3 linked regions of the Pelodiscus sinensis genome follow. The protein of the gene in region 2 interacts with the protein of the main gene of each other region in a pairwise test. Links are inferred from orthologs where the notes say so. Each region holds a gene or a part of one and is shown on either strand. Other genes may lie near its edges.

Region 1 (9,694 bases), on a different chromosome or scaffold from region 2:
GATAGCATAGCCCTCAAGTCCCTGCCCCTTACACAAACACAAGAAAGAATCCATGTTCTGTGGAGTTCTAACAATGTGTTTGCAACCTCCCCCGATTTTGGATATAAAAATGATTACAAGCGACATGCTGTGTAATCCAGCATGTTGCACCAAACACAACAAAAGGAGACCAACTCCTGCCACACTAATCTAGATGCTGCATTACTGCAGAGCCCTCTCCTCACCAGGGACATGCCCATTACCAGCACTTCTCCTAAAGCAAACTTGATGCTGTAAGTTCAGCTACAACTCTAGCATACAGCCAAACTAATTAAGCACAGAGCAATACATAGTACCGAGTGTTCTGCAAACTCAGAATAAGCAGTTAGGGTGCTACCACACAGCAGGGCTTAACTCAAAATAAACTATGCAAATTCAGCTACATCAATTGCATAGTTTACAGGCAGTCCCCAGGTTACATACAAGATAGGGACTATAGGTTTGTTCTTAAATTGAATCTGTATGTAAGTCGGAACTGGCGTCCAGATTCAGCCTGTTGAAACTGATCAGTGGCTGATTCCAGGAAGCCCGAGGAACTGATCAGTGGCTGATTCCAGGAAGCCCGAGGAACTGATCAGTGGCTGATTCCAGGAAGCCCGGGGCAGAGCAACTCTGCCTCCGGCTTCCTGTAGTCAGCCCTTGGTCAGTTTCAGCAACGGCTGACTTGGGGACACCTGGGGCAGAGCAGCTGGGGTGCTGCCGGGTTGGTCCAGTAGCACCCAGAGCGGCGCTGCGGGACCAACCGGCAGCGCCCCAGCTGCTCTACCACAGGCGTCCGGAGAACAGCCTGGTCTTCTGGGGGGGAGGGGGGCACACTAGCTGCCCCCCCCCCCCCCCCAGCAGACCAGGGAGACGCGGGCGGTGGGACCAAGACACACCACGGTCCCGCCCGGGTCCTCCGCGTCTTTGCTCCCCATCTCCCTGGTCTGCTGGGGGGGGGGGGGGGGGGGGGGCTATCCCCCCAGCAGACCAGGGAGACATGGAGCAGCTTTTCTTGCCCCGGAGGACGCGGGCAGCGGGACCGCGGCACATCTGGGCGTCCTGCCGCTCCCGTCCTCTGGGGTGAGAAAAGCCCTGTTCATAACTGCGGATCCGACATAAGTCGGATCCACGTAACTCGGGGACTGCCTGTATTTCAAAATAGCACTCATTTCAAAATAGAGTGCTTTCCCCCCCCCCAACCACTTTCATTACTAATCATACAATGAGTGTTACAGGAGTTGGAGTCCTCCAGCCTGACAGTATTTTGACACTATTTCGAAATAACGGCCTGCTGTGTAGATGAGGACTAAGTTATTTCAAAAGAATGTTTCTGTGTAGACGTACCCTAAGAGATACAGCTATCCAGAAGTGTTTTCTTTGTAGGCATCTGAACTCTTTAGTGGTAGAAATGTAGCCGTGTTAGTCTGGTGCAGCTGAAACAAAAAACAGGACCGTGTGTCTTTAAAGTGCTACACAGTCCTGTTTTTTGTTTGAATGCTTTAGGACACTGCATATCAAACCTACAGCCCATTATATTCCCCAAGCACGCTATAGGGAATGTTAATTTCTTATCAAATGCAGTCGGAAAGCATTCAAAACCTGTACTGACCCAAGAAGCTTGTGTCCTGTGCTATGCTTAATGGCTTTAGTAGTTGTGGCTGCCATCAGGTTCTCACAAGGATCTCTACCTGATGAATTTACTCAGGCTTGCTGTTCATAAAGAGGGCTGATGCCAAATGTTAAGAGTAGACACTTCATGTATTCTGGTCTGAGAGTTTTCTTGCTAATCCAACAACATCTTGGATTAGACAGCAACAGCAAAGTTTCAGGGCAGAAACTTGAACAAGAGTACTAAGTAGTGACCTGCCTACAGAATCTCAGGCTTCATGTGAAACAGTAGGGATGATTAAATCTAGTTTTGGGATACTCAAGTCTCTTGCAACCTCCCCAGTCCTATTGCAGTCCCTATTAACCAAAATAAAAGCAAGCGTCAGAGGGGAAGCTTTTTTATTTTAGGGTAGACATAGAAGTCAAGAGCCTTGAAACCCCTCTGTCCAGAGGTTATATATATATATATATATATATATATATATATACACACACACAATAAAACTGGTGCACAGGGTCCAGGCTCATTCTGCATTACAAATGGCAGATCATCTTCCCTCCCCCAGAACACCTCCCTGGAAGTTAGAAAAGATCTAATGCCCATAAAATGAGGGGTCACAATAGAACTACATTTATTTAGATAAGCATGTAAAATTTCTGGTTACAGTGATTAGTGTTGTAAAAGGTATCTGAGCACCTTACAAGTTCAAAATAGGATACTCGAGTGATGGTTTTAAAAAATCCCATCCTCCCCAAGGCTTTTGCTCTTGCATACATCTTTGCTTCTTAATCCTAATCTACAGCCTTACTATAGAAATCCTGCCATCCCTTCCCCAAACGCTACCATTGTATTTCAAGCCTAATCTGCAACAATCCTGGTAGCCCACTTCTGAGCATCTCTGGTAAGAGCAGGGCCCATCCAAGGACACAGTAGTCACAGAGGCAGAATCAGAAGGGGAGAAGGCAGAGATAAAGGAACACAAGAGAAATAGCAGGTATTGTGGTAGATTAGTTAAAAGTGGAGATGGAGGATCCTGTGCTGGTGCAAAGGAGAGGAAAGGCATCTCTGATCCAGCAGAGGAAGAGAATGCAATAAGGATGAAATGAAAACAAGAATGTGGTGTAGAGACAGGCAAGTGGGGAGTTGACTCTGGGGCATAAAGGTCAGGTAGACAAGGCAAATGGTATTTGGAAGCATAACACTGCAAAGGCAAACAGAGCCATTTGAATGGCAAGACAAGAAAATGTTCCTCACTTATATGGCAATACATAACGAACAGTGAGTGGTTCAGAATCCATCAAGCCACACAAACGTATCACCAGCATTTTTTCTGATGGAAGCCAGCTACTTTCCGCCCTCATCCCCACTCCTTTCAATACGCAAGCCGACAGAACTAGAGACAGACTTAGATAAGCCTGTTCCTTCCTCCTACTCAAAGTTCAGAGGTGGGGAACATGGTGACCATATTTACGGCAAAGCCCTGCTACCAAGTAGCATGCCCCCTCCCTAGAAAATGGCTATAAGTTGCTTCAGGAGCAAGCGCAAAGTCATCCGGAAAGAAAGGCCTTTCAATTATTCAGAAAAGCCCGTTTCCTTCTTGATGAGCAAAGCCAGGGGTTCATCCATGACTCCCCCTGAAGAGGAATTCAACCTCGCTCGAGATCAAGAGACCAGGATGGAATCGGAGCAGTGCTGCTCTTGCCCCAGCTGGGCTATGGACGGGGGAGCCTCTAGGGAAGAAGCAGCAGCTTCTGATCTGGGCTTCCCCTGGGCAGCCCGAGATTAGCACAGGGCGAAGGAAAGCCCCAGCGGCGAGGCGATTGCCGCAAGCCGCGGTCGAGGCAGCCTGACTCACGCTCCAGCTATGAGGGCAGGGCGCTAGTGGCGCCACGTGCTGATGCTGGAGCCCGGGGCGGCCGCAGGAGGGCGGGCGCCGGGGCTGTCGCTGCCACCCCCGGGACGGGCGAGGGGGCCCCCACAAGCACAGGCGGGAAGAGGCTCCTGGGAGAGGACAAGCGGCCCCGCTCGGAGCCCGGGTACTCACCGACTCGGCGGAGGCGGCGGCCAGCAGGAGAAGCAGAGCGGCGGCGCCGAGCGCCCCGGGGCGCCTCGCTGACAGCGGCTGCATGATGCGCGGGGGACCAGGAGCGAACAACCAGGCGACTGGAACTGGAGAACCCGCCGCTGGGCCGCGTCTCTTATAGGCGGCCCGGCCCCGCCCCAGAGGCGGAGCGCGGAGCCCCGAGTGCGATGGGAAATGCCCGGGACGTGCCGCTCTCCCAAGCGCGCCAGGGGCGCTCCCGGCTACGAGAACCCCGCCCTGGCCCGGCTCCTCCCCGCCGCTCCCCAGCCCCCTCCCCAACTTCCCGGGGCCCGACACCGCCCTGTCCCCCAGCCGCCCTCCGGGGCCTGACACCGCCCTGTCCCCCAGCCGCCCTCCGGGGCCTGACACCGCCCTGTCCCCCAGCCGCCCTCCGGGGCCTGACACCGCCCTGCCCCCTTCCCGAGGCCCGACACCGCCCTGCCCCCATCCGCCCTCCGGGGCCCGACACCGCCCTGCCCCCTCCCCAACTTCCCGGGGCCTGACACCGCCCTGTCCCCCAGCCGCCCCAGTCTCTCGGGGCCTGACACCATTCTGGCCCCCTCCAACAGCCGCTCCCCTCCAGGGTCGGACTCTCTGCCCTGTCCTCCCCATCAACCTTCTAGGGCCGGACACTGCCCTGATCCCCCTCGCCCTCCTGGGGTCCGGCACGGCCTTGCCCCGCAAACAACAGCCCCTCCGCGACTCCCGCGGCGCGACACCGCCCTGTTCAGCCTTCCCCAACCTCCAGAGGTCTGTCACAACCTCCCGTCCCCCAAACGCCGGGCTGACACCACCTTTGTCCTGCATCCACCCAACTGTCTCTTTCCCTAGTGCCCTGTATTGCACCTCCCCATCATTGACCAATCCCTCCATAGCCCCCTTGCATCTCCTTCACAAAATGGCCCTATGTGCAACTTTTAACACTTTGTATTCACCCTTAAAGGCCCTGCCATCTCCTTACATCCTGCTTCCTGAATGTCCTTGGCATACCCACCCTTGTCCTTCTGCCCTCAGCCTGACCCTCTACCACCTTCCCATACACCCTCCCCTTCTTACACTATTAAGAACTTCAGAGACACATGAGAAAGGAGGGAAATGTTAAGTCAAATTTTTAACATTCCTTCCACTGTCTCTCTTAAAAATCAAGGTATGTAAGAGAAACCAGCATCATCGCATATATATAGTAGCCCAGTGTCTGAGTCTGTAATGCTGAAATGCTGGCTGTTCCCTCTGGGCGGCCTGTGCTGCATGGGTAGGAGAAGAGAAAGAGAGAGGCAGGAGGTGGAGGAAAGCTTGGGGGGGAGGCAGTAGGAGGAGGGGACACCCCCCCCCGCCCCTCCCACACACACAGAGAGAGAGAGAGATATCAGAGGCTCAGGTGAGAAGACCAACGTGGAGGAGAGACCTGAAAATCCCATTTTATGACGGGCTAATTGGCTAGTATATATGTATATATATATATATTAGCCCAGTGTCTGTGACTCTGTAACGCTGAAATGCTGGCTGTTCCCTCGTGGTGGCGCTGTTTCCTCCCTGGCTGTTCCCTCTGAGCGGCACTGTTGCCTGAGTCACGTCCTTTGCCTCCCACAGTGGCACTCAGCTGACTTCTGTGCCGCTCAGCCAGGCCACCGCGTGAGAGCAAGTGGCGTAAGCGGCCATTTGGGTTCCACGGTCCTCTGAGTGAGAGGCAGAAGGGGGAGGAGAAGACAAAGAGAATGAGAGGCAAGAGGGGGAGGAGAAGAGAGAGAGAGAGGCAGGAGGCTGTAGGAGGAGGAGAAGGAGAGAGAGAGAGAGATGGAGCAAGAGACCAGAGGCTCAGGAGAGAAGACCAAGGAAGTGGGGGAGAGACCTGAAAATCCCGTCTTACGACGGGCTAATTGGCTAGTACAAAAATACCATTCTAAACATGATTTTATATATATATATATGTAGGTATGGAATTTTTAAAAAATTCCTACTGTAATCCACTCCTTCGAAATTGCCTTCTCTACCTATCTTCTCTGGGTTTCTCCTGTGGATTATAAATCCTTCTAGATAAAGCCTGGCTATAGTTCTGGATCTGACACAATACTTATGCTACTGTTGGCAGTTAACAAATAATGGGTTATTGCAAAAGGGGTCAAAAGAAATATAAAAAACGTGCACCATGAAATAACAAAGTTAGTGACTTTATTTTCTGGGGGGGGGGGGGGGGGGAAGAAATGTTAAAAAAATAAGGTTGCATTTTAAGGGTACCAGAAATGTTCTCTTGGTCATTCTACTGAAACAAGCAGGGCACATGTTTTATTATAAGAATGAAGCCGGGATCCTGTAATCTGATTAATGCACTTAGACCCCTATGAGAATGAAGAGCCCTATTGATTTCAATAAGACACCACTCCAGCATAAGTGTCTAACTGCCACAAGGATTTAATTACAGATTCAGGACAATATCTGACTAGAAAATAAAAATCATGTTCTGTCCACCATTTCAGACTAAGCTGTGAAGGTTGGTAATGTTTCCAAGGAATCTTACGAGAGACAATCTTTATGCAAAATAATTTCCAGGAAAATCTATTTTGTCCCTGAACTACAACTGCAACTACAACCGACTTTTTAACACTGAAATTATATATTACAGTGCCTACAATATTTTGATAAACATGGAAATAATCTGTTACTTATGTATGTTAGAAGCAAACAGGTATTTAACTTTTTTTCTGGAAGCTTCACAGTAAGGCATTTAAAATGTATATCTGCTATTGATTAGTGCAGTGGAATTTTAAGGAATATTTTCAGCCTTCAGGTCAGATATTTTAAAATAACATTCTTTCAATGCTAATAATATCTGGCACAGGTAGCAATTTGAGCTTGATCCCACTATGAATCTCATGCAAGTGCAGGACTTTGCTTGCATGCAGCTCATTGCAGTTTGGGTTTTAGGTAGTTTTTGCTTTTAAGGTGCAACAAGTATTACCATAAAAACGTGGAATCCATAAAAGAATATGCATAAGTAACATAGGTCCAAAATGTAGGGTTTTTTTTAACTTTTACAGAATCTGACATGAATACAGATGTTTGTTACATCTGATGAAAAAATGAAAATAGTTTTCAGTTTGAATTTAAAACTGCTACTGCTGTATTTGGAAACAGGAACATTACATCACTCAATGAGATGCTAAAAGCAAAACTGCTTGATTAGTTTTCTGTATCTTAAGCAGAGGCAAGTACAAACAGACATTGCAGATGGTAAAAAGAAAGACTAAATAGTTCAGTTTTAATCAATTCAAAGTATTAATAACCCAAGTAAGGGAATTTGTTTATGCTTTTTAACCTGACAAGGTCCCTTTAAATAAGAACCTCAGCTCTTTGTAACCAAACTGATAAAATCTTTGGCCCAGGCTTACTCAAAAATATAATGGGAAATGAAACTTGCCTTTAATGTGTTTTCCAGCCTTCAGAGTAAATTTGCATAATCCAGTAATGACAGACTTCTGAGCACATTTTGTAGATTATATTTTCTCTTTTTGACATGTAAGTTTACTTTCTATTGTCACAAAAAGAAACTGCATGGAAATACAATACTAAAAATCTTAACACTGTGCTGTGAATTCATAATACAATATTGCTTGGTTCATTTGCCCTTCAAATGTCCTCTTTCAAAATGTTTACATTTTACTCTCAATAGAACAATCCAGGAAAAAATCTTGTTTAGCTGAGACTCACTGAGAGCAATAGAATAAAATGGGCTCAGAGAAAATAAGTAACTGAAATTTTCTCTTCTGAAATCCACTACCACTGGCATAAAAAGTCACATCTCAATGTTGTGATTTGATCAGACTAGTGAATTATGACACTTTTAGGTACCGTATATTTCGGCCTTTGTACAAAAAAAAGTTACAACTTTCAAAGAAATGACACAAAAGTCAGCTTGGCTCATCCTCTGTTGTTCCAGTCCCATTACTTAATAATGCACTGTTCATTAAATCTTAAAATTGAATCATAATTGTGGGTAAAAAATATCTGGAAAAGTTAATTCACTTGTAATTCTTCGTCCACACCAATGATAGAGAAATAACCCTAAGAAGTGCAGTTGACTCTGGGTAATCTCCACTGAAACAAATTCTCAGGACATCTTACATGTCATGGGCACATTGCCACTTCTCACCATCTGGTGCTCTTTGGGTACGTCTAGACTACATGCCTCTGTCGCCAGAGGCATGTAGATTAGGCTACCAGACATAGGAAAATGAAGCGGTGATTTAAATAATCGCCGCTTCATTTAAATTTACATGGCTGCCGCGCTGAGCCGACAAACAGCTGATCAGCTGTTTGTCGGCTCAGCGCGATAGTCTGGACGCACGGGTGTCGACATCAAAGGTATTTGTCGACCACCCAGGTAAGCCTCCTGGGATGAGGTATACCTGGGTGGTCGACAAATACCTTTGATGTCGACACCCGCGCGTCCAGACTATCGCGCTGAGCCGACAAACAGCTGATCAGCTGTTTGTCGGCTCAGCGCGGCAGCCATGTAAATTTAAATGAAGCGGCGATTATTTAAATCGCCGCTTCATTTTCCTATGTCTGGTAGCCTAATCTACATGCCTCTGGCGACAGAGGCATGTAGTCTAGACGTACCCTTTGTGTCCCAAGGGTATAGCCATAAAACTGACCACTGTTTCGAGAAATAAAGGATTTTGATCCAGGAGGGAAGAGCTGTTGTATTAAAAGGTTGAAAATAACTGTCTCCCATCAGAAACTGGTAGTATTTCTATGGGACTCATCCCCCAACTCACATTCCCTGAAAACGGCTTTCTCCCCTAATGGGCTAAGATTAAGAAATAGTATTTAAAATGTATTGCTAATTTACCCCAAAAGTTCCTGTTTTTGAAGCTCACATATGTCCTTATCCTTCCTTAAAAACTTGGAAAATTAGGTGTGTAAATACTGCACATTTTGCCATCTGTTCACTGACATTTTCTCCAAATGTGGAAGGAGGATAACTCAGGCACTCTCGCTGGGTAATGAAGCCACTGAAATGGAGCGAGCCTCATGGAAGAGGAAAGGTTGGTTTAATGAATGAATGTAAATCATTTGAACATGCAACATGCCTCTGACTAAGAAAGGAAATAAGTTTGGATCTGTTATGCTGCTCCTAGGCTATGCAGCTGACACAGGGTATGTCTACATTGCATTCCTCTTTCGAGAGAGGAATGCAAATGCAGACGAATGAAATTGCAAATGAAGTGCGGATTTGAATTTCCCGTGCTTCATTTGCATAATCGCGTCCGGATGCTTTTTTGAATAACCCTGTTTCAAAAAAAGAAACACTGTCTAGACGTGGTTATTTCGAAAGAACACCCTTCTTTCGAAATAATCCTTACTCCTAAAAAAACTAGGTTTAACGATTATTTCAAAAGAAGGGTTTTCTTTCGAAATAACCGCATCTAGACAGCATTTCTTTTTTTTAAATAGGGTATTACGAAAAAGCGGCCAGACGCAATTATGCAAATGAAGTGCGGGAAATTCAAATCCGTGCTTCATTTGCAATTTCATTCGTCTGTATTTGCATTCCTCTCTCGAAAGAGGAATGCAGTGTAGACATAACCTCAGAGACCCTTTCTTTTAATTACTTTGGGGCTGAGTCTCTTCAAAATTCCAGCCCAGTTACATTCAACACTCTTCTTTTTCTGAGGTGACTGCTGCTTGGTGGACCACTGTCCAGTAGCTGTGCAAGTGGAAGTCTTGTGATTTTTATCAGAGATTCAAATTCTATAACCTCCAAAAATGTCTTTAGTATCAGATGGTTTCTATGATCACAAGCTGAATCAGAGAGCTGCTTGCTAAGAGTTCTAGCTGGGTTACTATAGTGGATTGATGGGAGATCAGATTATTATATAAGCATTTCCAAAGTCACCACTAGCATAGTATTTGAGTTTTTAATTTTGTACTCAAAAACTACATAGTCAAAGGGAAAGTCATTTAGTAAAGACTGAAAACGA
Region 2 (10,333 bases):
CCCAGCCCCCGCCCATTCTAACCCTGGGCTTCTCTGCCGAGGCTGCTCAGTGGGCCCTGGTCTGGGCTGCTGTGACCTCGGCCTTGTCCCCGCCATCACAACGCTCCGACCCGATGCCCACGTCCGGGAGGCTGTTGCTCTCCAGCCTAGCGGGTCTGCACGCTCTGGCTCCAGACCGTCCCCTGCCTACCTCCTTGCACCTGGAGTTGAACACCTCCTCCATCTTCTGCCGCGTCTCTGGCACCCAGCATTTCTTCATGAGGGGGAAATAGTGCGGGTACTTCAAGGTGACCTTCAGCTTGCCGTCCTCCGTCTTCTCCAGGGAGTTCAGGAAGTCGTCAGGGAGCCCGCCTGGGAGCGGAGGAGACAGACGCTAGCTGCAGCCCCCCTACCCCCTCCCCGTGCCGTGCGCGCTGGGCAGCCCCGTCGGGAAGCAGGAGGATGCACATCGGCCTGCCGACTGGCGAGTGCACCGGCCAAACGGGGCTTCGATGGCAACTCAGCTGCTGCCCAGACCAGCAGCTGCCAGTTGCTTCCGCTGGCTCTGGCCCTTAGCCAGCGAGCTCAGAGAAGGGGCATCCCTGGAGACTTAGCACCAAGGGAAGTAAATCTGCCCGAAGGCTCCAGCAGGCCAGATTCCTCCGTCCCAGAACAGCCCTTACCCAGTTCCTCCTTGGAGAAGGGCAGGGAGGTGGTGTCTTCGTTCAGGTTCTTGTTGAAGTCGATGCACAGCAGGCTCAGCCTTTTCTTAATGGCTTTGATTTTCTTTAAAAAGACACACGCGGAATCAGACAAAACTAAATCAGACGGGAGGAAGATGAGCAGAGTTAGCTCTGCACCATCCCCTAGAGGCTGATCATGCCCCCCCCCAAACAGAGCTGGCCGTGCAGAGACACAGACACAACGGGGGGACAGGCGATTGCGGCTCACGCCTGGGGGGAGCCGGGGCTTTGGCGTGATGGCTGGGCTATTTGGGGACAGTTCAAGGAGCTGCGGGTGTCTAAGGCCTGTCCAGATCTCATTCCCTCTGCTTGTCTGTTTTAAACCTGGTGTCAAGCTCCCCTCTGATCTGCTAGCTCCTACCTGCTGCAATGAGGCCCATGTGAGTTACCCTACTCAACATGTGACACTCCAGCTAAATCCGCTCGCCGTTCCCCAGACGCTCTGCCCCGCTTTTGGGCTGGATTCATCCCTAGGCAGCTATGTCCTATTGTGACTCCCCACCAAGGATCGCACAGGGAATAAAGATTAGCTCCCCGGTATGACAGGGTCCCGGCTGAGAGTCTAAGAACATAAGAACGGCCGTACTGGGTCCGACCAAAGGTCCATCTAGCCCAGTAGCCTGTCTGCTGACAGTGGCCAGCACCAGGTGCCCCAGAGAGGGTGGACCGAAGACAATGATCAAGCGATTTGTCTCCTGCCATCCCTCTCCAGCCTCTGACAGACAGAGGCCAAGGACACCATTTTATCCCCTGGCTAATAGCCTTTTATGGACCTAACCTCCAGGAAATTATCTAGCTTCTCTTTAAACTCTATTATAGTCCTAGCCTTCACAGCCTCCTCTGGCAAGGAGTTCCACAGGTTGACTACACGCTGTGTGAAAAAGAACTTTCTTTTATTAGTTTTAAACCTGCTACCCGCTAGTTCTTCTATTTAGGGAACTAATAAATAACTTTTCTTTATTATTTAGCCGTCAGATCTCTCTGTACAGCTACTGAGGGTTACTAGTGATAGACTCACCTCCTGCGTCTCCTCCGGGAGGTGAAGGCCATTTCGTTTACCCAGTTTGATCAGCCTCTCTAGATACCTCTTGGCTTCAGGCCTCAGGGAAGCAGATTCCCTCTTCTCCTGTCAAACAGAAAGGGGAGTGTCGGGAGCCGACAGGCAGGACGTGGCGTTTGCTAATCTACAGCCGCCACACAACCACAGCACATTGTTTGCGTCGGTCCTATGGCTGGAGGGTGTCAATGTCTGCAGACCCCAAACTAGACGAAAACAGCCCCCTAGAAGAGTCAGATTCAAGAGACTGGTCCCCACTAGATTGTTTTCAACACGGGTCTCAAAGCCCATCCCAAATTGCTAGCCGATGTCGGGCCTCTATGGGATGTAGGGCAATGTCACCAGCCTCCTTTTACAGAGGGGGAAACTGAGGCACAAAGGGACAGGACTGGCTCACAGTCACACAGCTGGTCTGAGATTGGATCCCAGAAGGAAACTGAGGCACACAAGGACAGGATGTGCTCATGGTCACACAGCGAGCCAGAGGTGAGACTGCATCCCAGAAGCCCCGAATCCCCAGTCCCTTGCTCTAACTACTAGACAACATTGCCTTCGTGTTGTAATTTAGCTCTCAACTGAACAGGAAAGGTGGTAGGGAGAGGCACTCATGGAAATTACAGGGAGGCCCGCAGACACTCCCTGTTGGGATGCTGGACCTGCCATCTTCTCAGCACTGAGCCACGCCGGTTACCCCTCCCCAGCCGAACCTGGAGCCAGACGATCCTCTGGTACACGTCCTGCCTCATGCTCATCTCCACATCGAACTCCGAGAGCTTTTTGTCCGCCTCCGTGCTCGCCGTGCGGATATCTTTGTGAGGGGAGACGTGCTGGGGGAAGTCCAGCATGTTCCTCTGAACTGCAACGACAAAGCCAGGAGCTCAGACTATAGCTGGAGCCGCCAGGTTAGGGAAGGAAGTAGGCGGCAGTTTCACAACCCGGAGCCTGACATGCACCCAATCGGCGGGGGCAAGGCAAGCCACTCCCACCGACATGCCCCACACCCAACCTGAAACAACCCTCTCTAGCACTGAGCTCCATCATCCACAGGTCCTGGAGTCAGATCTGCCGGTCAACTCTACACTGCAAGTTCTTGCTGCTCCGGATAGGATCTCACAACCCTACAGCTCTATTTAGCAATACCATTGATAACACCTGTCCCTTACAAAATGGCCTGAGACCAATGTTCCCTCTATAGTTTTGTTGACAAAAGTCCACTTTTGTCGACAAAACCCTGTAGTCTAGACACACTCCTAGTGATCAGACTGAGGAAAAGATACTGTTGTAGGATTTATGCACCACAGAAAACAGGTGTTACCCTCTGGGCCAGCTTCCTTTACAAACATGGTGTTACTTTTTCAGAGCATTTTAGCTGGAGTCGTAAAGAGAAATAAATTGTTTGCACAGGAAAAGGAACCAGACACACACATGCCTGCTCCTCCCACACCCGATCATAGAAGTTACAGCTGGAAAAGCCCAGACTGGTCATCAGTGTGCAAGCTGGGGAGAGGTTCAAATCTTGCCCAGCTCATTAGCAGGTTGCCCACAGCTAGGTTTGTGTTTCTATGGGGGGTACACATTCGCACACGCCCCAGCGTGCATAAAAATGTATTCCGCACATGGCTGGAAAAAAATGCACACGTGGCCGGAAAAGATTAGAGGGAATATTGCTCGTCACCCAGTCATCTCTCTGCCAACACATGGCTGATCCCTACAGCACATCGCCTAGCCTTTTGTCCAGATACTGAAGCAATTGGCAACTTCAACGTCTTAAATGTTGTTTTTTAAAATCACAACTAGCGGGGCTTCCAGCTTGGAAACCATCCCATTGCCGAAGTCACCAATGGGCCAATTTTTCCCGACATTCTTTGTTTCCCCATCCACAGACTGGGGGTGGTGGGAAACAAAGGAGGCAGATGCTTTGGGATCTAGTGATTCAAAGGAGCCCTTTAAATTGCTGCCTGGAGCCCCTTAAATCACCGTTTGGAGTACTGTGCTCTAGGCAGCTCTCAGGGCTGCCTGGGAGGTCGGGGCACCACAGAATCCAGGCAGTGCTGGGGAAATGGGGGGGGGGGGAGGAGCACTGTGGTCCAGGCAGCATGGAGGGCTGGCCGCCCCCAGCTCTGCCCCCTCCGTGTGAGGTCCTGCCCCTCCGGGGGCTTCCTGCCAGCCATCTTGCCCAGAGGCACTGAGCACAGCAGTTGGATCCCTGCCCATCCAATTTCATCCTATTTCTCCAAGTTACACGCTTGTGTAGAAACCCTACATTTCCTCCAGGTAAGACAGGCTAATGGAGTTACACAAGGAAAAGCCAATGATTCAGTTGACCAGAGACGCACACGATCTAAAAACCACTCAGCGACTAACAAAAGCTAGAAGGGTTCCAGAAACAGCCAAATCCTGTTTGTCCACATACCTGTATACTCCACTTCCACATCAGCTAGAATTTTGAGAGTATTTTCATAGGAGACCTCCCCCTGCTCCTGGGAGCCCACGTGGTCGTATACTTGCTTGGTCTTCTCTAGGAGCTCCACGGTCATGTTTTCTATTTGCTCTGCTGTCAGGTCCCATCTTAGCCGATTCACTGGGAGTCTGTGGGACTGGCTGTCCACAACGTTACCTGAATAGGTTGGAAAGAGATCCATCTCTCAGATATTGCCCTAGAAGAGGGTGGAGAACTAACTCACAGGGACTCAAGAGACAGGTACGGCAAATACCGCAGAGCTCAGAAGAGAACCTGATCTGTTTGAACCAAAGAGTAAAAAGAACAGTTGCAACACTTTATGCCTCCTATGTATGGCAACTCCTGGGTAAAACTTGATTCCTTAATTAGCTTGCCCTAGATCAGGTTTGCTATTGCAGAAGGGCTGGCAGAGATGTGTGGCAGAACCTTGCAACACTGGTTTCGGGGTGGGGGAAGTAACACACAAAGAACCCAGAGAACTGGTGCAGGAGGAGGCAGATGTTGGGAAGGCAACACTCAGCATAGGCTTAATGAGAAGACAAGTGACTGCAGCAGACCCAGCAGCAGAGCTGCCACCCTCCCGGTGCTGGGAGTAACTCCATGCTGGTGAGCTTTCTCTCTGAGACTCATTCCGGCTTGGCAGAGCTTTGCAAACCTGGGGAGGAACCTCTTCTTGCTTGTAGGGGGATATTTAAGGGTCATGCACCCTGCCCCCACCTTCCTATCCCCATTCCCCCAGTCATGCATCCTGCCCCACCTCCCCAAGCACTGTCTCCAACACACGTAAGAGTTACCTGCTCTCCCCACCCCTCCCTCCTCCTCCATCCCACACTGCCCCCCAACTCCACATCGTCTTCCCATGCCCCCGCCCTACTCCCCACTCTAGACTTTGCCCCCTTCCTAGATATCCCACCTCCCTATCCACTCACTGCCCCATCACCCCGCCCCCACTGCCACCCCCTAAATATACCCTCCCCCAGTACCCCTTCAGCCCTCCATTGCCATCCCCTAAATATCCCCTCCCCCCATCACCCCACCCCCACCCCCAAAATATCCCCTCCCCCCCACTGCCACCCCCAAAATATCCCCTCCCCCCATCACCCCACCCCCACCCCCAAAATATCCCCTCCCCCCCACTGCCACCCCCAAAATATCCCCTCCCCCCATCACCCCACCCCCACTGCCACCCCAAATATCCCCTCCCCCCATCACCCCACCCCCACCCCCAAAATATCCCCTCCCCCCATCACCCCACCCCCACTGCCACCCCCAAATATCCCCTCCCCGCCCCACACGCGCCAGCCGGGCGGTACCTGTGGGGGGCGCCATGGGGGGGCGGGAGGAGGCGCCGCAGCCACTGACGCTCAGCCCCGAGCACGCGGGCCGGGGGGGGCGGCGGGGAGGAGAGAAGGAGGCAGCGCGAAGGATTCTGGGAGGGTGGAGGACTGCGCGGGGCCAGCCGGGGGCGGGGGGAGCTGCCTTAGCGCCCCCTCCCGCGCTACGTCTCTATGGTCAATCGCGGGGAAGAGGGGCCCTGCCTGAGCGATCCCACAATGCATTGGTTCACCCGCCCCCATGGCGTATTTCCGCTTCCGTCTGGCGGGGGCGGAAGGGGAGGCCTGTTGCGCATGCTCGCTGGCTGGCATGGGCGGACCCGCTGCTGGGCGCGTGAGTCGCTGCGAGCGGCGGAAGTGTGGGGATGGAGGGCGGCGCCGCCGAAGCCTTGGCGCCTGCGCAGTAAGGGGGAGGGGCTAGCGCGCGTGCGCAGCGTGCGCCTGGCGGTGAAGGGGCTGAACGCAGCTCGGAGGCGCCTGGTGAGTAGCCGGGGCCCGCGGGGGGGCTCAGTCTCCGCCCCCCCCTTGTCTCTGGGGCGCTTGGCTGGGCCCTGGCCCGGGGGGCTGGGGGCCTGGCTGGGGGGAGGGGGGTTGGGGGCTGGCTGGGGGGAGGGGGGTTTGGGGGCTGGCGGGGGGTTGGGGGCTGGCTGGGGGGAGGGGGGTTTGGGGGCTGGCGGGGGGTTGGGGGCTGGCTGGGGGGGCGGGATTTGGGGGTTGGGGGCTGGCTGGGGGGGCTGGCTGGGGGCTGGGGGGGTTGGGGGCGTTGGGGGCTGGCTGGGGGGAGCGGGGTTTGGGGGCTGGCGGGGGGTTGGGGGCTGGCTGGGGGGGCGGGGTTTGGGGGCTGGGGGGGGTTGGGGGCTGGCTGGGGGGCGGGGTTTGGGGGCTGGGGGGGTTGGGGGCGGGGTTTGGGGGCTGGCTGGGGGGCGGGGTTTGGGGGCTGGCTGGGGGGCGGGGTTTGGGGGCTGGCTGGGGTTGGGGGCTGGCTGGGGGGCGGGGTTTGGGGGCTGGGGGGGGTTGGGGGCTGGCTGGGGGGCGGGGTTTGGGGGCTGGGGGGGGTTGGGGGCTGGCTGGGGGGCGGGGTTTGGGGGCTGGGGGGGCGGGGTTTGGGGGCTGGGGGGCAAGCAGGGGCTATGCTGATTGTTGAAACTGGCTTGGGGTGACTGTTTCCAATAAAAGCTCTTTCAGGAAGGTGGCTGCTGGCCTGGACTTTGCTTTATTTGGGGTTTAAATAGCAGCTGGCAGCTGGGTCTGTTAACTTGAAAGCAAAAGTGACGGTGGAAGGTCTGATGGGTTTTTCGTCTCCTGTCAAAAATGATGAGTGAGCTTTTCAGCTGGGGTGGGGAATCTCGTGCCTGGGGGCCGGAGGCAGCCTCCAGCTTGTTTGGATCCAACCCTCAGGGCTCCCCCCAACATTGGGGAACTCATGCTGGCACTGCAGCTCCCCCGCCATTGCCCTACAGGACTGGAGCACACAAAATCTGCTAGCCAGGCCCCCCTAAACTCTAGTGTGGGAGAGGAATGTGGGGAATGTCTTTCTCCTCAATCAATTTTTGTTTTTTGTTTTTTTCTTTGCTTTTCACTTGTGTGTGGCCCTCAACTGATTTTTCTGTGCATCAGCAGCCTCTGACCCGAAACAGGTTCCCCACACCTGTTTTAGCCATGTCTAAGCTAAGAGTGCCTTACTGGTGTATGGATACCGGTATACTATACCAGCAATGTGCTGCCAGTGTGATGCAGTTTATACTGGTCTAGCTTATTCCACTCACACTCGGACAAAACCGGTAAGCATGCAGTTACTTCAAGTATCTGCCTTAAGGGCTTCTTCCAGGACACTGGTTAGTCAAGGATCACACCTCTGTCTAACATGGCTATGCTGGCAGAAGCCTATAGTGTAGAGAGGGTCTCTGGGAAAAAAAGTATATCCTGCGGGAGTTTCTGGGCACTGGTGATAGCATTATATGTTCTCATAGTTCAGTAAAAGCAGGGGGGGCTATTCTGTATGAAAAAGCAGAAGTAGGATTTGAAACTTTCCTGAAGTTTAGTGTAAGGATGCAAAATCCTTTTTAATTCGTTAACCAGTTAAATGTTAAGCTTAACTGTTAACTGATTAAATGGGGGTGGGCGGGCTGGAGCGGCCCATGGGTAGGGGCTGTGTCAGGCTGGTTGCTTCCACCCCATGCTGGCCCCCGTGGGCTGGGAGCCGGCAGCCAGCCCTTCACCTGTGACAGGCCCTGGCCTGCTCCCAGGCAACAGATAACTGTTACCCAGAAAGCTTTGTCCATTAAGGTGGGCTTAAATTTGGGTTCCCCACTCCTGAGATCATGTAGTACTTATTGTTGCCATGCAGTGAAGTCTGAGAACCTCTGCTTTAGTTAACAAAGCTGATTTATTTAATGTCTCTGGATGTGCTATCATTTAATTCCATTCAGTGCGAGGCTGAGCAGACTTCCTCTGTGCTGAGGAGCAAGTAGACTTGCCAATGGGTATAAGTATCTTACTGATTGATTAAGTTATTCAATTATAGGTGGATTTCTACTTAAAATAGGTAAGGGTTAACGTTCATTGCCGGGGGGAGGGAAAGCACATGGGGAAACCTGTCCTGTTGCTGCACATGCTTTGTCTGTCTTTAGTGGATAGGGGACTTTGGTTGCTGGTAGGGATGTGAACAGGTAACTGGTGAACCAGTTCCCAGGGAGCAGCCCATGGGAGAAGGGCTGCTCCAGCCCCACCTGGCCCCAACGGGGGTGGGGTGGCAGGGACTGGGAGCAGGAGCCCTGCAGGCTGGAGGCTGCTTTAGCTGGGCTAGAGCGATTTCCCCCACCCAGGATCCTGCTTAGTTGGTTAAATGTTACGTTAACCGTTCCTGGTGTTAGTTGTCATTGACGGGTGTGACCCCAAGTCATGAGTTTGACATGAAACTTTCACCTATTTTCTTCCCACTTTGGAGATCAACTTGTCCCACTCTGCTCTGCTTGGTGCTTAGCAGGGTTACTTTTGCAGGTGACTGTTGTTTTTTTCTGGCATCTTATTTAAATTTAGACTCTGCAAAGTTAAATTGAATCTTTCTCTGCTCCCACGCTAACTGCCTGATCATCTGTGCAGAACTTCTTCTAACGCTGAACTAAGTCTTTTATTGTTAACCGGGTCGAGAAGTATAAGAGCCAGCGATATCCAGGGCATGGTGGGAAGTGTGATAGTGGACTGGCACATGACTCCCAGTGCGGTCTTCCTGAATTATTTCCAGCTCTGATATTAATGTTGGGCAAAGGATTCTGCCTCTTGCGCGCAGTTTCCCATCTCTGAAATGGTCGTATGTGTACCGAGCAGGGGTCGGGCTAGATTGTCAAGTGTCTTCTGCCTAGGCCACAGGTGGGCAATAATTTTTGATAGGGGAGGGGCACGCCATGATTTTGGTAAGTGGTCAAGGGCCGCACTTTTCTATGGAGTAAGTCTGGGGTGGAGGTTGGGTGCAGAAGGGAGCTCAGAGTAGGGATGTAAGCAACTAATCGACAAGCTTATGGTTATTGGATAGTTGATTAGTGATGTGACTAGTTGCTTCCCCCACTTGCTGCCTCTATCAGAGAGAGGCAGCAACTGAGGGGAGCAGGAGTCGGTGTTGTGGGGAGCCAGCTTAAAAGCTGGTTTCCCTCCCAGCACCATCTCCATGAGGGACAGGGGAGGTAGAGGCACAGCGGGGAACGGCATGAGTTGGGACTGAAGAAGCACCTGGAGTGTGGGGCACTTCCCCATGTTCCCTGCGGGGCTTCCTTTTGAAATGTACAAGAGCCTCACTAGGGCTCTAGTACATTTCAAAAGCTGAGGCTCTTCAGGGAACCAGCAGGAGTCCTCCGCTGGCCCCACACTCCCTGTGGGGCTTTCATTTTTGAACAGTAGCAAGAGTCCGGCAGTTGCTGCAGTTCAAAGACGGAGGCGCCCTTATAGACTAATCATATAGCTGATGGAAATCCTCTCCACTATTTGATTAATCTAAATGTAACATCCCTAGTAGGGGATTTGGGTGCAGGACAGGATGTGGGGTCTGAGAAGGAGTTTGGAGGAAGGAGGGTGTTGTGACCTGGCACAGGGGATTGGGATGCAGGATCTGGGAGAGGGTGTAGGTGCAGGAGAGAATTCTGGCCTGGGGGAGGGGGCAGAGCTGGCCAAGCGCCAGAGTTCACTGTCGAGGGCCGGTTAACCAGTAGGTCTCGGGCTTACCAGTATGCTTACTGGTGAACTGTTTAACATCTCTATCTTCACTGTTGTATTCAAGGTGCGTACATCACTGTAGTATCTGAGTGCTCACAGTCATTAATGTTCACCCTCATAGCACCCCTGTGAGGCAGGGCCATGCTAGTGTCCTCATTTCACAGGTGGGAAACTGAGGCAGGGAGAAGTGACTTGCCCAGACTCTCACATGGACTCTGGCAGAACTGGGTATTGAAGGCTTGAATTATAGGGCAGAGCCCTAACCAGTGGACCACCCTTCCCCTCCGTATAGATGGCCGTATTTTACTTAGCAGAACCTTTCTGTTTGCCCTGTTGCTCATTAAAGGGAACCATTTTTTTCCTGCCAATTTTTTTCCCAGGAGAAATAAGAGCAAAAAGTTCTGAGACACACACAAAATGGCTGACAAGCGACGCCTTGCGTATTCCATCATCCAGTTCCTACACGACCAGCTACAGAATGGGGGCCTCTCTCCCGATGCCCAGGAGAGCTTGGAAGGTAGGTGGGTGGGTGGGTGGGCTCCTTTCCTGTTCA
Region 3 (10,325 bases), on a different chromosome or scaffold from region 2:
CAGCCTCCCCCCAGCTTCAGAGTCCCAGAGATTCAGGAAGCAGTGCGGCCTCAGCCTGCCCAAACTCTGAAGGTCTGGAGAGACAGACAGCAGTCATGGCACAGGGGCTAGAGCCCTGATGCACGGAACCCTGACCAGAAAGGCAGCCGCAGCCAAAGTAGTCCCAATGCTGGGAGGACAAGCAGCAGAACCCTAACTTGTCTGCCCCAGTCTCTGGCATCACAACAGCAGGCTTGGGGTGTAGGTTTGGAGGACTCCGGTGGAGCATGGGCAGGGCTAGGTGAGGCAGTTTGGGAAGGCAATGCTTTCCCCTACCTACGATACCTGTCAGCCACGCTGGTTCCCCCAACTCAGAGATGGGGAACAAGAGCTGCCTGAGTTGTGTGTAATGAGGTTAAATGTAGGTAAGAGAAGAGGTATTTACATCTCTTGTTTTAACTCGACCTCTCAGCGCTATGGGTCATCTGAGTGAAATAAATTATGCAAGACATTGTTTTTGTAGCACTGCCAATCCATGTCACAGAATTCCAAGGAAAATCGTATATGTATCATAGTGCTTGGGTAACATCTTCCTAATGATATACAATTCAAGGAGATTAAATTTATGTATGGAGTTTTATTAGGTATATAATGTGGAATTTCTGCATGCAGACTGGCAGCCTGAAACACTTATAAACTTCCTACTCTTGAATCAAAACTAAATATTATACTTGATTATCCACCATAGCTTCAAAGTTTCTTGAACCAAATCATTTTGTTTAGCAAGTGTATAGATTCCTCAAGCTACACAGTTTGCTATCTCTCTAAACCAGACGTATTTATAGAGAAGTTTACAAAAACATTCATACCTATGAAGTTTTTAATTTTCAGTCCACATACCCCTTATATGCAAACACTCACAGTAAATAGTAGAAAGAAATTTTGAGGGGGTTGTTAGGAGATGAGGTAGAAATCACTTTTGTTAACTAGAGCATCACGAATGTTAAGGTGTTGATGTCTGAAAGTTTTTTTTTTTAAAGTCCAGATAGGTTTTCACTTTTTGGGACAGGTTGCAGGAAGTGAGCAAAGGAGAATAGTGAGTAAGGTGCACACATAGGATGTACTATTTTTGGTGAGGCAGTTTGAGAAGGCAATGCTTTCCCCTACTTACAATACCTGCCAGCCATGCTGGTTCCCCCAACTCAGAGATGGGGAACAAGAGCTGCCTGAGTTGTGCTACTGAAACACGAGATTTACAGTGAAATTAATAGGAATTTTATGATTAAAAGAAGAATCAGGGAGTGTCTAGCTTATAATTTAATGCTTGATATTAGTGTATTAAATGATTTCTCACAACACTCTTATGAAGTCAGGAGGCACAATACCCATTTAATGGGCAAAAGAAACTGAGGCAGATACTTGCCCAAGGGCACAGACATGAAAGCTTGGATTTCAACTGAGGTTTGCAGCCTTGTGCTCAGACCATTACAGAATACTGTCTCTGTTAAAAGAAGTGTCACCAGATCTGATGTAAAATTCGCACTCAAATCTCTGATTCCTCCCTACCACTGAACCCTCTTTACTTAGGTAAGAAAACCCTATGTCAATGATGAAGGAGGAAATGTAGCTACTGAAAACAATGAATAATTTTACCGACACTTTGATCTGTGTAGTAGTGTTGATTTCTGTGCAGTAGGAGCCTGGAGTAAAAGAAAGGGAGAGTAACTGTGTTCGAAACAATTTTCAATCACACTTTTGATCATTTTGATAGCTAAATGCCTGATTCGCCAGTGCAGACAGAGATGTACATATCTACACAAAAATTAACCACAGGAGTCAGGTGGGTAAATCCCTAGACTGGGTTTTAGGATGCTGGATTCAATTTAGAAAGCTCCACCAGAAGCTTCCTTTGTGGCCTTTCTTACTGTGTCTGAATTCTACATCAGTAGAATGGAGAAGGTACTTCTTTTCATGTGTTTAGACTAAGCTCTTTGACTAGGAGTAATCTTACGGTATGTATGTGTAACGTGTTCAACACACACATTAATCATCATTAGCACATTGCAAATTACGAGCATGGGCATTATTATTAACAGCTCTATTCTCATTTTAGCCAAGTTAAAGAAACTCACAATCCCAGGAGAGGGATATTGTCACCTGATGTTAATACCCTAGGATAGAGAATTTATATCCGCTATTACTTCTTTTGCTCATACTACACACTTGTAGAGAAGAAGAAGCACTAAGTAGTTTTGGTCCAAAGTTTAGATTGTGGAAAAGGACAACGTTTTTAAAAAGGAAACAAATCCTAATATTAGCAGTAGTGTTTTCCTGGCATTTTAAATTCTTTTATAAATGAAAAACCTTTTAATTTGGATTCCAACATCCCTTTTTAGTGACTGCAATTCATACATTGCAATCAGCATGATAAAGTGAAAGCAAAACTAACAAAAATTACAAATGCTAACGAACAAACAAATTAAAATGGTAAATTAGTTAGATTTTAAATACCCTATTTCAATCAGCTGTCATGAACAGCAGAGGGAAATAAATCTGATTTTTATCTTTGTGTTTTTGACATTTAACTTTAAGTCAACAAAAAAATCTAAATAAATTTTACAGTAAAAGCAACTTACTCCACCAAAATGCTCCTCAGTTATTTCAGTTACTGTGTAATGTTTATGTAACATGCTAATGAACACAAAGTGAATGAATGTGAGTCTTACCTTATTTGCTACAGATGCTTCAGGGTTAAGAGGTATCTTATTATTGTCTGCTTCATTTTCCTCCTCAAGTCCTCTCTCCTCCTGTAATTCAATAACCTGATATTCATGGTCAGGAACACCACCATTCATAACTTCCACTTCTGAAAGAAATTTTGACTTTAAGGCAAAAATCGAGACTTCTCCCTTCTTTCTTGTTTCTGCTGTTATAATGTTGATGACAGGCCAGGGACAAGGTTTGAGATGTCAGCAACCAGGGTCAGCATAACTTACAAGCAAACTGTCTCAGCAACTTGAGTAAACAAGGGAAATCCCATGGAGCTGGGAGCGGACTGGGAGTGTATCCTCTGAAAAAAAAAATTGAATGAGAGAGAAGTACTGATTTGCTTAAGACTTTTGAAACCTAAGTGTTTATTCTCAGGCTGTGTCATACTAGATTTTCCAGTTTGGTTACGTTACTACACCAGCCCTTCACCAACACAAGCAACTAAGTGAACCTGAGGCAACATGGTGGTTGCAGAAGGAACAAAGTCAGCAGAGGAAGTAATTATCTTCATCTCAGAAGAGAAAACAGTGTTTTCAGTCAAGGCAAACAAGCAATATCCTTGTCACTGGTCTAACTAGAATTACAGGACACGTATGTAACACCATACCTGCAAAATACAAAGGAACCAAAGCAAGCTTATATTTATGCAGCACTTCTTCCAAAGAAAAGAAACCAAAAAGTTTAGTAGACAAAGTAAGTCTGAGCATTCAAGTTCAGGTCTGAAGTATCCTTAAACTCTAGAACCCAGGGTCATGGCTTTGTTTCATGTAGCTATCACCTAACCCAGCATCTCCTGGAAAGGTCTCAAAATATTCCTGATGGGATCTGAGCTCCTTTTGCTCTTAATCCACCAGTTCCTAGAAAAGTAGGAAAAGTCAACAGTACACTTTCTGTTGTTAAGATTTGCAATCATTAACCTTGTGTAAGCCTAATGAAAATAGCATTCCAGTTTCAATTACCTTTCAAGGCCAGAGTTTGCCAATGCACTAGCTTCTAAAGTCTGCACCCAGATCTGTACTTGATGGTTGCTTCTCCCTCTCACACACATACTGTACATTCACACACACTCTATATGTAATGGGCTGAACTAAAACCCTGGTGTTGAAGCCACACCCTCGTATGTAATTTTGAGAACTGGATCTGAACTTTGTGGCCAAGAGTCATATCTAAACTGAAACGGTAGGAATGCAATGTCCTTCTGTGGTGAAAATATTCACAGTCTTATCAATATATGGAGTAAAAACAAACTCAAGGTTTGGAAGGTTAAGTACCTCTCAATTTCACTTTATTTAAATCCATTGATTTGAACTCATCTACAGCTTAAAGGCTGTGACTGCAGTTCTGAGCGCATTACTTCATTTCAGCAGTCCTGTCAAACTAGTAAATAGTCATCCCATTTTATTAAAAAGGAAAAAGTGAATGAAAATTCAAGAAAAAAATACATTAGTCAAATACTTTTAGAATTTTAATATATTTAGAGGTTAGGATAGTGATTTTACATTCAATAAAAATTGGAATTAGCATCACACACTTTACTGAGATAATTATATTTAAAAATGAGTCTTAAATACAAGAATGATGTAACATGCGGACAATAATAAAATTCATTCCTGTACCTACATGTAATTTACAGAATGCCTTCCCCCGACATACTGTACAATGAGTCAGACTGAGTTAAAAATAAATGAAGGTAATATTGCCAATCTCAGGAGAGATTACAAATAATTAGACGGAGTCAAAATATGAGGAATTTTAAAAAAGATTGCATAATGGTTTCAGTCTTTGACTACTCCCCTGCCCCCACACACACTTTCAAGAACAAGAGCATGAGAAAAAACGAGACAGGGAGTTTCACAATTACCTTACCCACTTTCCTAAATGTGTTACGTAAGCTGATTGTGACTGCTGCTGCAGGAACTCTTATCCTCGTATCAGCCCAAGCCCTGCTCAGTAATTCATTCTGCCCCCAGCCTCTGAATCACATCTGTTCCCTCAGTTGATACCAGTTGTATCCCTGGCAGACTTTGCTCTTAAGTTCAACCCAGCCATTGCTCTGTTCCTCTGTGGGTTCTTCATCACCCTCACCCAAGGGTGGGGTGGCTTCAAAGGGGTACCCCTTGCCACTTTCAGGTTGGAGGGAAAGCTTCAGCCTCCCCACCCCGTTCACATTTTACATGCCCCAATGCCAGGTGCTGCAGAAGGAAGGGAAGAAAAGCAGTGGAATAGCCTTGAACTTGCCTTTCTGCTCCCTCCTCCCCATGACCTCTTATCAGAATGGCTTTGGGTTGCCACAGAGGGGATGAAGGAGGAGGAAACAGCGCACTGCCTTCAGAAGCTCTGGTTGGCTGCCCACTCCCTTTGCCCACCTCCTGGGGAAGAGTAGTCACTCAGAAGGCTCAAAATATACTAGAGGGCTTGAGCTACTTGCATCTGTAAGACTGGCTCCATCCCAGCCAAAATCCCATCACGCATGACCAAAAAAAAAAAAAAAATCACAAGAGCTGGCTGCACTGTGAGGGGCATGTTCATATCACCCAACCATGCGTGTGTTTTTAAGCAGGGCAGGGACTGGAATCCAAGTCGTCAACTACCATATCATGTTACCTCAGGTCTGAAAACCTAAAACAACAAGATATTGACATACGTTCCATTAATTTTAATGATACATTTGCTTCAATCCTCTAGACAACTATGGAAGGCTCAGTCTGGGTCTATCTACTGAGAGGAGGAAAAACCCTTGTGATCAATCTGCAGAGCAGGAAACGACCATTTCTATCAACTCTCCCCTCCCCAATCTAGGACTCTCTGGGATGGACATTGAGATTCATCCCTTCCCACTGGCCAATAGGGAGAAGTGGCAGCAACTATGAGAGACAATGAAGCAGCAAATAATCTGGTACTTGGGGAAGTGACAACCGCATAGTAGGGAAGAAGCAGCAGGGAAGCTGCCTGAACACCATTGCCTGGCAGCTTCCCTCTGCAGAGCAGGCCACAGCTGGATCTGGGAAACCATATATGGAGCAGGGTGTGATGACCAGATGTTGCAGCCAGGCTCTGGATGCGGCAGAGACTGGGCAGGGAACCAGCGTAAAGGGGTTCTAATAAGTCACACTACTCCCTGATCCTGGCCTGGACAACTAGACAGTCCTATTAGCATTTAATAAGGAACTGCACTGGAGAACGTACCCTAAACACTTTGCCTGAAAAGCCATTTAGTAAGCCCAAATAAGAACCACATTTTTTCCCACTGTTGAAGCCACTGAACCAAGAGCATTTGCAACCTTTCCTCTAAGCTAGTAAAATTCCCCTTGCATTTTCTCCAAGTATCTGAGGGGTTATTAGGATAAATCAGGGCTAGCCTCCCAGTGTATTGAATCACTTTCAGCCTTGCCTCCCAGTGTATACCCGATACACTGCGAGGGCCTCCGAGGTTTTATGTACCATCAACCTGAGCAGATAGAATAATTACAGAGTAACAACTACTGTAGATCCAGGTGTACTTCAAGCTGTTTTGACTGCAACATATACTATCCAAAAGTACAGATTCTTATTAAAATGTACTCTAATCTTTGGGGTTTCAAATATCATGCAGTAAAGCTCCTGTCTCTCTCTGTGTAAGAGATAATTCATGATAAGCCTCTTATTAGTGTCTCATATCCACAAGAGTTAATTTGAATAAGGCTAATACCATAGTAGTCAGCAACAAGCCCGCCGACGGGGGAAGGGGACAGAGCAGTTAACTGCCTCAGAGCCCAGCAATTCAAAAGTGCCCAGGGCTCCCAGCTCACACTTCTGAGGCAGCAGCCAGAGCCCAAGTCCTTTAAACCGCTGCTGCGGTGTCAGAAAACATGCTCCAGGCGGCACTAAGAGCTGGTAGGAGGGTTGGCACAATCCAGGGGGTGCTGAGGGCTGGCTGCCCCAGCACCCCACTTCTGCCCGAGGCCCTGCCCTGCCTGGAAGCATGGAGCTGGGCCACTGCCATCACCACGCCAAGGGGCCTCGGAAGACTGTCAGCCCCCCTGTCAGCTCATGAGACTATACTGAGGTTATATAGTGTAACATTTGATAGTGGCAAGGGAGCTTGAGCATGTAGGTTTTCGTTCGGACCAGAAAGAAAAAAAATTCTCTCACCATCTTCCTTTAACTGAACCGAGCTCTTCTTAATACACTCAGGATTTTTTCCTGTTCTAAAATACTATCCCTCTGAAGACACCAACAATGGTATTTCAGTCCTGGAATGATTAGGGTCTGAACTTCAGGTTCAATGTGACTGACTTGTGCTACACTACTGATGGAATTTGATCTTATGTTTGTCTTTACCGGCCCAGAGAGGATCATGAAAATGGAAGGGCCATGGCAGCTTAGTGTTATCTTTGATCTTGAATGCCAAACACCCTCTCTGCTAGTAAGCTTAACAAAGAAAGGGCACTTGGCTACCAGAATGCGAGTGCCTACATCACAAACCTGAGCTATGTTTTTGGCCTCTCCTGACTATCAAATCTGTATTAAGATAGAGCAACCTGAGGGCTCCTATAAAACACAATACAGGAGGAAGCAGTTCTCCATAGCAGCACTGTGACCAAAAACTTTTAACCCACTTTTGCATACCACCCTGACTTGTAGTGTATGTATTTTGACCAGATATGAAAAGACCACCCTTGATCCCATTTGAAACCCAAACACACTGCATAAAGTGTGCATGTATATACATATTTATGTATGCTAGGGCTGGAGAGGAATTATCCAAGTATCCAACAAGCTTTGGTTGGACTTTGGCTCAAGGTTCCAATCCATCATTATTTCATCCAACCCTGTTTGTCCATTTTTGGTGACGAAGAAAATGAAGATGAGTCCATGGAGAAACAGTTACTTTCCATTCAAACTGCTTCTGCAACATGCAGAGATGTTAATTACCAATTTTTATGTCTTAAAAAATATATATATAAACATAAACTTCAGCACAAACATCTAGTTTCCTTATCTCATTATAAAACATGTATTTCATGGATTACTCCAGTAAAAATGATGTCTCCTGTTTTCTTCTAAGCACATCAGTTTGTGTACTGACGAATCCAATCATAAAGCTCTGTCACCTTTGTATATACACCAGGGCGGTTACGTCGAGCACATCCTTCACCCCAGCTGACAATACCAGCAAGATACCATCGATTTCCCTTTCCTACACAGGCCAATGGACCTCCAGAATCACCCTAAAGCAAAGGACACAGCTCAGTAATTATAACAAACATATCGCACTGTAATTATATAACACATGAACAACAGATAATTTCTCCCTCAAATTATAATATTTTCTATTTCTGGACAGTGGCTGTACATTTGTTTATACACCCAGTTCATGTTGTAACATTTCATTACAACCAAGACAACTGAAGAATGCAAATTAATAGAACTAGGTTAGGGAGTATTTGATTTTTATTAGTGAATGAGGGTAAATGTTACTCTGAATACATGTTCCATAAACTGACAAAAAATATTTTCCCCAATAATAATAAAACTTACAGATAGGCAAGAAAGAAAAATGCTGCTTGAGAATTACAGTTTGATTTAAGGATATTTTCTTTGTGTGATATGATGTTGACAATCTGCTTTAAAACTATTAGAAAGCTTTAAGTGTTTGAATTTCAATATCTATGGTCATTACGCGATTATTGTCAGACATTCCCATGTGAAAATTTAAAACGAGTGGAAATAGAAAATGCTTATAATAAATGTTAATATAATCCATCCACATCGTATATATAGTACCCATTGTCTGTGAGTCTATAACGCTGACGTATATGGCCACGCCCCCTGGCTGTATACGTCAGCGCCCCGCCCCCCTTCCCTCCTTCCGTGGCAGTTCGGCCAGCCCCATGGCCCCCCCGGACACTCCCCCCCCCCAGCGCTGCTTCCCTCCTCCCTTCCTCCGGCCCCTCCCCCCCCCCCATTTTCCCCTCCAGCCGCCACTTGCTCCCTGCCGGGGCCCAGCTGAGCACCGCTCATCTGGGCCCGGCAGGAGCACCACAGCATGCCATGGAGGGAGGGGAAGGGGGGGCAGGGTGCCACGGAGGGAGGGGAAGGAGGGGGGCTGGCCAGAAGAGGGTGGGAAGCAGAGATGGGGGGGGATCAGGTGCTGTGGGGCTGGAGCGGAGGATGGGAGGGGCCCAGAGGAAGGGGGAAGGGAAGCAGCGCTGGTGGGGGGTGTCCAGGGAGCCGTGGGGCTGGCTGGCAGGTAGAGGGGGTGGGAAGCAACGCTGGGGGGAGGATCGGGGGCTGTGGAGCTGGACGGGAAGAGGGGGCAGGAAGCAGTCCTGGCAAGGGGGGAGGGGTGCAGCGCGGACTCTAAACGGATGCTTGCCGCCGAGTGCTCCCCTGGCGGGAGCGCCGCTCAGCTGAGCCCAGGGTGGCAAGTGGCCGCCGCTCAGCTGGGCCTGGCAGTGTGCCACAGAGGGAGGGGAAGGTGATGGGGCACCACAAAAGGAGGGGAAGGGGGCGGAGCTGGCCGGAAGGGGGGCGGGAAGCAGAGCTGTGGGGATCAGGGGCTGTGGGGCTGGAGGGGAGGATGGGGGGTCCCAGAGGAAGGGAAGCAGCACTGGCGGGAGGGAGGTGGGGGGGTGTCCAGGAGGCCATGTGGCTGGCCGGCAGGAAGAGGGGACGGGAAGCAGAGCTGGGGGGGGGAATCAGGGGCCGTGGGGCTGGACGGGAGGAGGGGGGGGGGAAGCAGACCTGGTGAGGAGGCGGGTGCAGCCACTGGCCGCAGCCGGACCCCAAACGGCAGCTTGCTGCCGCTTGCTCCATGGCTGCAGCCCAGCAGAGTGGGGCTGGTGCTGCGCCGCTCTGCTGAGCCCCGTTGGGACAGGATGGGGGGTGGGGCGGTGATGTACACGGCCAGGGGGCTTGGCCGTGTACCTCACGGCCCTCCCTTCCTCCTCCTGCCGTTTTGCTGAGTGGTGCGCCCTTCAGCCGGGCTGCCACAGGGGGGAGGGGGCGCGGTGACTAGACAACCCCATCCCCTGGCAGTGTACATCACCGCCCCACCCTTCCTCCCCCGCGGCGGCCCAGCTGAGCATGCAACACTCAGCCTAGCTGCCATGGAGGGAGGAAAAGGGAAGGGGAAGGGGGGCAGGGAGAAACGGAGAGGGGAGAGAGGCAGGAGGCGGAGGAGAGCTGGAGGGGGAAGAAGGTAGTAGGAGGGGAGAGAGAGAGAGAGAGAGAGCAACAGACAGACAGACAGAGCGAGAGTGCTCAAGAAAGAAGACCTGAAAATCCCATCTTATGACAGGCTAACTGGCTAGTTATTAAATAAAAACTAATCCTGACAAATCTAAATGGAACACAATGGCAACAAGGAGATGCAAAGAAGACGAGAAGAATGTGAATAGCGACTTACCTCTCCTGTCTGAATCATTCCATTGAACAAGCAGCTGATCATAGAGCAGTACAAAAAGAAAGATGAAAAGAAGGAATTCCACCTTGAGTTCACCCATAAGTTTAAGAATTAAAAATTCATCATTAAGATTCCACAAACAGTCCTAACTCAATCTCTTTCTTTCCTGCATCCCCTTCAGCCAGAACCA

Evidence for each region. The genes of interacting proteins can lie anywhere in the genome.
Region 1: the proteins of SGTA (region 2) and SDC4 interact in binary tests that used the Homo sapiens proteins (3 or more experiments, as listed by UniProt). The two-hybrid records come from large-scale screens. The link is inferred for Pelodiscus sinensis from reciprocal best matches to the Homo sapiens genes SGTA and SDC4.
Region 3: the proteins of SGTA (region 2) and C1H3orf52 interact in binary tests that used the Homo sapiens proteins (3 or more experiments, as listed by UniProt). The two-hybrid records come from large-scale screens. The link is inferred for Pelodiscus sinensis from reciprocal best matches to the Homo sapiens genes SGTA and C3orf52.

Annotation. Positions count from the first base shown.
Region 1 is NC_134728.1:24,186,352-24,196,045, forward strand, and holds the start of SDC4 (syndecan-4), read right to left. Parts: upstream 3,830-9,694; 5' UTR 3,759-3,829; coding exon 3,675-3,758; intron 703-3,674; exon of another isoform or gene 1-702. UniProt on the Homo sapiens protein: Cell surface proteoglycan which regulates exosome biogenesis in concert with SDCBP and PDCD6IP.
Region 2 is NC_134729.1:17,548,481-17,558,813, forward strand, and holds the start of SGTA (small glutamine-rich tetratricopeptide repeat-containing protein alpha), read left to right. Parts: upstream 1-5,897; 5' UTR 5,898-6,054; intron 6,055-10,160; 5' UTR 10,161-10,197; coding exon 10,198-10,297; intron 10,298-10,333. Other genes in the region: THOP1 (thimet oligopeptidase), read right to left, coding at 191-351, 663-765, 1,741-1,848, 2,487-2,635, 4,193-4,421. UniProt on the Homo sapiens protein: Co-chaperone that binds misfolded and hydrophobic patches-containing client proteins in the cytosol. Mediates their targeting to the endoplasmic reticulum but also regulates their sorting to the proteasome when targeting fails.
Region 3 is NC_134711.1:156,898,521-156,908,845, reverse strand, and holds the start of C1H3orf52 (TPA-induced transmembrane protein), read right to left. Parts: upstream 3,830-10,325; 5' UTR 3,708-3,829; intron 3,699-3,707; exon of another isoform or gene 3,356-3,698; intron 3,050-3,355; 5' UTR 2,976-3,049; intron 2,846-2,975; 5' UTR 2,835-2,845; coding exon 2,706-2,834; intron 1-2,705. UniProt on the Homo sapiens protein: Has a role in LIPH-mediated synthesis of 2-acyl lysophosphatidic acid (LPA). LPA is a bioactive lipid mediator involved in different biological processes, and necessary to promote hair formation and growth.